Oryzias latipes: one gene and its partner. The protein of the gene in region 2 binds, or shares a complex with, the protein of the main gene of each other region. Links are inferred from orthologs where the notes say so. Each region holds a gene or a part of one and is shown on either strand. Other genes may lie near its edges.

Region 1 (3,821 bases), on a different chromosome or scaffold from region 2:
GATAAACTTCTGTTCTTGTGGCATTTTTCTCATGATGGAGGACATATATCAACAAAAATCAAGCCTTGAATTGCTTTTATGTGTATTCGAATCGTTGGGAATCAGGAGCAGAGACAAAAAACGCCGTTTGACAGAGAGCTTATGTGTGACGTCGAAAATAGACCGGGTGTGGCACAAACTCTCTGCTCTGCTCCATTCTGATGCATTCGTCTTTGTTTTCCTGAGCTGGCATCTGGCTCAAAACTGTACGAGCAGATAGTTCCACTTCTGCTCGCCATCTTTGTTGCACCTGTCCTGTTAGATTGGGGGTGTGAAGGGCTGTAAGCTAGCGAGAGAGCGTGTAAACAGAGAGCTCTCAGCAACAGGGAGGTGAAAGAGAGCAGGATTGCTCACACATATGTCCTAGAAAGCCACACAGGTCTTTGGATTTTGGCTGAAACTGGTGAATCATAATTAAAAGACCACCATGAACGCTTTGAAAATCAAAAGATGATCGGAGTGGGACTTCAAAGTATTCTGAAGAAGTTGTAGTAGAACACAAAGAGTCCTTAAAGCAGTGCAGTGGTCCTGGCAAAAAGGTGATTTCCATTTCTCACTTCAGTTTCATAATAAACTTCATAATAATTGCATTTTGCAATGCCTTCCAGAAATGTTTGGAATGCAGAAGCCTTTTCTCCACGTATGATCTTTGTAACAACCCAGTCATCTTAATATGTGCTCTGCTCACAGACATAATGATCACATGAAAATCCAATAAACACAAACCAGCAGGCCGTCTAATGGAGACCAAATACACTTCAGCTGCGCTGCAGCGTCTCTTACCACGCTGAGATTCTGGCTTATTGTTTCTCCGTTCTGCTGCAGCATCACAGGAAGACCGGTGGAGGATGTCAGAGTAAATAAGGGAACGAGAATGATTTGTTCCTGCCTTACGTAGTCGACTCTCTCTGAGTAACACCAAGATTTAGTGCCTGAAGATGCGACCCAAACGAATCTCACCTGGCACTGGAGAAGTATGGACTTCCCTCTTCTTCGAACCGCCGCACGATCGGCTCCTTCATGGCAGCCTCTTGTTCCGCTGTGAACTATGAATAATTGGAAGAAAGGAATAAGGCCAGAAAGCTTTAATGGTGGCCTGAATTATTAAAGATGTGAAGCAGAGAAAACACAGTCGCTTCGTTTGTCGTGAAGAGCAGATTTTTGGAAAAAAAAAATGGAAAAAAACAGGGAAGTCACTGAAACTTCTGTCCAGGCAATTGTCTCAAATGATAAAGATACTCATTATTTACCAAACCAAAAAAGTTGTATGAATGTTAAAAAAAATGCTATAAAAGGTTTACAAACACTTCCATTTTTGAGGAATTTTATTATTGTGCTGGCGCATTTTTATAGTGCCTGATGAAGATCATCTTGCTGTGTGGCAAATTATACAATTATTTTCCAGTGTTGCTTCTTAGTCATCCCAGTGTTACAGATCACTGAAACTCAGAGAGAAAATGCAGACAACAAAATCAAGGCTTTTCTCCGCACAAACAATATTTTCACCCTCCTGTTGATTGAATCGGGTCTGCTTTCACAGAACGTCTCCATCTGAATGCTTTCGGAGTGATTGACTGGATGCTTGTTGAAGTTTCAAATGTATGTTTTCAAGAGTTTCCAGAGGGAAAAACTGGCAGCTCTGACATGAATTCAAAAGTATTTCAACTGATATTTGAATATGATGTAAATATGACCACTTAATGACACATTTGAATGCAAATATAACAATGGTCCGTTCTTATTTTTGAAGAGGTCTTAACCTTTTCTAGTCGGTTTCTGTCTATTATAGTAATTTTAGGAAATCACAAAAGTCTTGAAAAGCAAAACTTTGACCACTCTTTCTTCCTCTCACTTATCTTTTTTGCCCAAGTTGCTGATCTCCAACCTCCAGAACTGACAGATTTCCTTCCAAAAAGTAATTTCAACCGCTCATGTCTTTGAATAAAATAAAACCACAGAGTCCGTATGCATGTAATGTCATGCTTTCTAAGATTTTTTTGCCTTTGACTCATTTCTTCCTTCCAAAGTGGATTTCTGCTAATCAGCAGTGGATGCAGTTTATTTTTTTATTTTACAGAAAACCTCTGAACAATAGTAGAGTTTGCCATCAAGCTGAAGTCTTTAAAAGTGGATCAACTGCAGGGACGTAAACAGAGTCTGTAAGTGTTATAGCTGTTTGCTACAAAGCAATAAACTATAGAAATTATTTTTTCTATTGTTGTTTTTTTAACAATTTACTGTGCTACTGTGAAATTATTTCTCCTAAAGTTACTTAGTATTTGTTTATCATTCTGAACATGATTCTTATATTTTATTTTTGTGTCCAAAAATAGTTAAAAATCAGACTGAACCCAGCGTTACTGAGTTACTGTGTAATGAAGTGGGTCTTCAGACGTTTCCCTGATGGTTTTCAACTTAAAACGCCTCCTTAGAAACAATCATCTCCAGAAGCTCCAGACCAGAACCAGGCTTCTTTCACAGCTTCTTCCGCCTCTTTAGGTCGCTTGACTGACGCTGCTGCTCTGCTATCAGAATGCAGATGTAATTTGGACATATGCTGACTATTTTCTTTTTTTTTTTTTTTTTTTAAATAAACAGCAATTATCACGTCACCCATTTGCAAAAGTAAAAACCTAATAAATACAAACAATACAAAAGGCTATCTATTAAAATACTGTGTTCTGAGGATAAAAACCTAAATGATTTATAAAAAGTGCATTTAAAAATATTAAATTCACATCATATCACTGACTTGTGAGATTCATGTCTCTTCTCTTATTCTGTGGTGCTGCTACTACAACTAAATTTCTTAGGGCCAATCTGTCAGACCCAATGCATTGTTGTCCCCCATTCGCCAGTATAGATGAGCATTGATGTACTGTGGTTTGATGCAGAGACTTCTGGGAAATGGGGTTTTACACATTAACGCACTTTCTGAAAACCACAAACCTTTCCTTTATCTTGTTCACAACACACTAACTAAAATAAATAGCATATTTACATAAACATATAACATATTTTCAGAACGATAGTCCTGAAACTGCATGATAGGGTATTTTTTAAATAAAGACTAGAATGTATATCAGTGACTTAATATAAGAGACTTGTTTAACTTTAACGTTTAACTTTGAAAAACGGCTGATAAATGAGTCTAGAAAATGAAAAGACCATCCAGAGATAATATTCAGAACCTGAACTTTAATTAGATTTTTTCTTTTTTATGTTGGGTCTTTGTTCCCACGGTTAGAGTCTGTCTGCAGGGTCCTGATGTGACGAGTCATTCTGGAGGCGTTACTGCGCCCTTAATAAACCCATAACGGCGGAGCCCGGGCGCTTTTATGACAGACATTCAATCAGAGCAGGTCATCGCAGTCATCACTCAGCACTGATGCTGGTTCACCCCCGCCAAGCCAAACGCTTGCTAAAAGAAGGCTTTTTCATTATGTTTATGCTTAGGGCACAGTGTGGGCGGGCAGAGCGCCGTTAAGCGTTACCTCTTTTCCCTCGCGTGCCCTCTGATCTTTAGTGATGGTGGCCAGGACTGTTGCTGCCTGCTCGCCCCCCATCACTGAGATCCTGGAGTTTGGCCACATGTACAGGAAGCGAGGACTGAAAAACAAATACATTATTATTAACTTGGAATAAGGTTGAATCCCAACAATCTTTAATAGATATGACTTATTTATTTAACTGTCTTCTGGTCACTTATAGAGATAAAAACAACAGTTTTTTCTAAGGAACTCCTGTGTTGATTTAATAATCAACTTTTGTTCTCTGCTTTT
Region 2 (3,068 bases):
CACAAGGGTTACAGGTTCCCTGTCAATCAAAAGACCAGCTCAGTCTTAAGCTCAATTTTAATCATAAATATGAAATAAAAACATTAGTTGCCCTGAATACTGAATCTAACCAGTTAGGGCGTTTTTAAATTTGTAGCAAGTTGGTGCTTTTTTGCATTAGACTTTTGTAAAATACCTTTTCATCTTTCCCTTTACTTTTAGTTTGGTTGTCAGTACTTTGCATTCACACTGTAGTAATTCACAGCAGAGTTCATTTGCATACTATTGCTATCTATTAGTTGGATTTGTTTCCTCTTCTAGATTTTTTATTCTTGCGATCCTAGCTGGTTCAGTCTAATTCTAAATAAGCAGCTTGAAGGTTCCAGTCTACTCCATGAATGGGATGGAAAGCAAACGGAAACCAAACAAAGGTTTTTCACTGATGCCCTTCCGAACAGAGTTTGAAACTCACCTTCTCGATGGTTCCAGTCATGGGGGCCACGGCTCCACCCTGGGCCCCCGACCCACTCACTCCAGCCAGGTACTTTGGCACAGGAACCGACACCTGGGAGCTCCCTTCCTGCAGGAGAGAGGTGAGCATTTTGGAATGCGGTTCACTGACAGAAAGACACATGCCACCTCAAAATATGCATAAATGTTTGTGTTGGAAGAGGCAAAAAAGGTCATACCGTGGAGAACAGGTGCACGGCGCTGTCCAAAATCACCAGTTTGGGACGAGACTTCACTCCGTTTATTGAGCAATGCAAGAATGAAGCTCCCCCACTTTCCTCCACCTCCCCTGTCACATCATACACGTCCTCGCCAACCTAAAAGAAAAGAAAAAGCTTTCATATTTTAGTCTTAATATTATTATTTTTTACCAAAACATAAAAAACGATCTTACAAGCATTTTGTAGCTTCCGTCTTTCTTGTAAACGACGAGCACGTCGATTTCTGCAGACGAGAAAAGCTGATTTAAATATAGAACGTTTGGCGCAAACACAAATGCTCGTCACAATAAAAGCTCCTCCGTGATGGCAGTGACTGAAGGGCTGACCTTTTCTCCTGCACAAACATTTTAATACAAACATTTAATGATGAATGCAGGTTCATTCATGAGCTCCAGCACATTAAACCCCTGAGCAAATTCAATCCCAGATGCAGGATTGACTCTGCCCACATCTGCACTCCTCTCCTCTGACAGTTTTCACAGGATATTCTCTACAACCCAAGCTTTTAAAAACGTGAAAAAAACAGTGTGTTGCATTTTTTCTGACATGGATTATTTTAATAAAATGTGCAGACTTGCCTTCTTTCTCTGACTGTTTGGTTGCAGCAGCAGTTATGAGTTTGACTTACTCTTGTCACTGATCTGCAGCGTCATGTTCCTGTTGAACTCCGTGTTGCTTCTCCACCCACTGCTGCAGCCGAACGGGGAGAACGGATCTGAAAACAAACAGCACAGTAGAACCTTCGAGTTTGACCTCATTCTTAGGAGACCCTCCCCAGCCGTTGGATACCTGTCGAGGTTTCTATGAACTCCTGCGTGTGTTTCCTCTCCTGCAGGATGAGGCCCAGGGCGGCCTGGCAGATGGTTGCCCCTGACGGGGCTCTGGGAGTGGGGAAGAGGTCGGAGTAGTGCTGAGGGATGAAGCTGGTGCTCACGTTTCCAGCCTCAAACTCCGGATGTCCAGAAAGGCTCAGCAGAAAGTCTATGTTGGTGTTCAGTCCGACAATCTAAAACCATAAGGCGGCATGTTGGGAGCGGTTCTGGTGATTGACAGGTTCAAATGTGCTTCAGCCCTCACATTGTACTGCCGCAAACAATAGCGCAGTTTCTTTAAGGCAGCAGAGCGGTCCTCCCCCCACACCACCAGCTTGGCAATCATGGGGTCATAATGCGCAGAAACCTCGTCTCCTGCAGCCAAAATCAGCCGTCAAGCCCCCGTTTTTCCACCTTAAAACCCACAAAAGCGGCTCCGTCCTTCCCCACCTTCTCTGACTCCGGTCTCGATGCGGGTGTGTCGGTCCGCCGGAGGCGTGGACAGATGCAGCAGGGGCCCCGCCCCTGGAAGGAACTCATTGTTTGGATCTTCAGCGTAGATGCGGGCCTCGAAAGAGTGTCCTCTCAGGATGATGTCATCCTGAAGGAGGGGCAGGCGCTCCCCTGCTGCCACCTGGAGGAGATTTCCATAAAGCCGACTTAAGGAAAACATCAACAGATGGTTCACATTTCAGGCCTCTCTTCCAGCCTCACCCTGAGCTGCCACTCCACCAGGTCAGTTCCTGTGATCATCTCAGTGACTGGATGCTCCACCTGCAGCCTGGTGTTCATCTCCATGAAGTAGAAGTTGTGCTGAGCATCAACTATGAACTCCACCGTACCTGCAGGAAGGGGAAGGTTTTTAGAGTCTCAAGGGTGAACAGCTGGGGTGAACAGCTGGTAGTAAGGATCACCTGCACCAACGTAGTTAACAGCTTTGGCCGCTCTGACTGCCGCCTCGCCGAGCTTCTTCCGAACCTCAGGGCTTATTCCTGGCTGAAGAAGAAGAAGACGTGAAGATGTAAACTTCAACCAATCCATGTGAAAGTGATCTTCATGCTGGAAACTGAAACTCAGCTCGAACACATCCGATAAAAAACAACAAAGCTATGTTTAGGAAACTTCAGTAACATTTATCTTTGCCATTTAGTGTAGAAAAACACTTATTTTTCAGCTTTTTTCCTCACAAAGACACTAAGCTTACAAATGGAAGCACTTAATAAAAATCTATTAAAAAAAAGAGAATTCCTGCACAGCTTCTAAAATTGTAGAAAAACACTAAACCTCTTTTTTATTGCTATTGTTTTCCCTTTTTTACCGTCCTGCCAGAGAATGCAAAAGTTCTCAAAGAGGTAAGCAAAAACAAAATCTATGATGACAAGGTCGTAAAAATCTGGCTGAATCCTCCAAACTAAGAAATAGATCATGTGCAGGCCCGTTCTGCTGGTGCACAGGCTTCAGTGCACTTACCAGGAACTGGATTTATTATTTAATGCACTTCTGATTCTTCCTGCAACAAAAAACACACTTCAAAAGTAGTTTATGT

What was found.
Region 1: the proteins of mccc1 (region 2) and mccc2 are in contact, whole or in part, in a cryo-EM structure (PDB 8JXM), measured with the Homo sapiens proteins. The link is inferred for Oryzias latipes from reciprocal best matches to the Homo sapiens genes MCCC1 and MCCC2. Residues at the interface, in NP_064551.3 of Homo sapiens: Glu519, Phe526, His531, Asp532, Phe534, Ser535, Pro536, Phe537, Ser538, Ser539, Ser540, Ser541, Gly542, Arg543, Arg544, Leu545, Asn546, Ile547, Tyr549, Thr550, Arg551, Tyr568, Tyr636, Leu637, Ser641, Glu644; in NP_071415.1 of Homo sapiens: Leu56, His57, Val60, Glu61, Lys64, Asp88, Ile91, Pro93, Gly94, Ser95, Pro96, Phe97, Leu98, Glu99, Gln102, Ile123, Gly124, Arg125, Gly128, Glu130, Arg234, Trp276, Leu278, His281, His282, His285, Lys298, Lys299, Leu300, Ile304.

Annotation. Positions count from the first base shown.
Region 1 is NC_019867.2:5,185,361-5,189,181, forward strand, and holds part of mccc2 (methylcrotonoyl-CoA carboxylase beta chain, mitochondrial), read right to left. Parts: intron 3,649-3,821; coding exon 3,534-3,648; intron 1,086-3,533; coding exon 1,000-1,085; intron 1-999. UniProt on the Homo sapiens protein: Carboxyltransferase subunit of the 3-methylcrotonyl-CoA carboxylase, an enzyme that catalyzes the conversion of 3-methylcrotonyl-CoA to 3-methylglutaconyl-CoA, a critical step for leucine and isovaleric acid catabolism.
Region 2 is NC_019862.2:18,327,576-18,330,643, reverse strand, and holds part of mccc1 (methylcrotonoyl-CoA carboxylase subunit alpha, mitochondrial), read right to left. Parts: intron 2,519-3,068; coding exon 2,437-2,518; intron 2,365-2,436; coding exon 2,237-2,364; intron 2,157-2,236; coding exon 1,973-2,156; intron 1,898-1,972; coding exon 1,788-1,897; intron 1,717-1,787; coding exon 1,500-1,716; intron 1,426-1,499; coding exon 1,339-1,425; intron 934-1,338; coding exon 884-933; intron 807-883; coding exon 669-806; intron 560-668; coding exon 452-559; intron 1-451.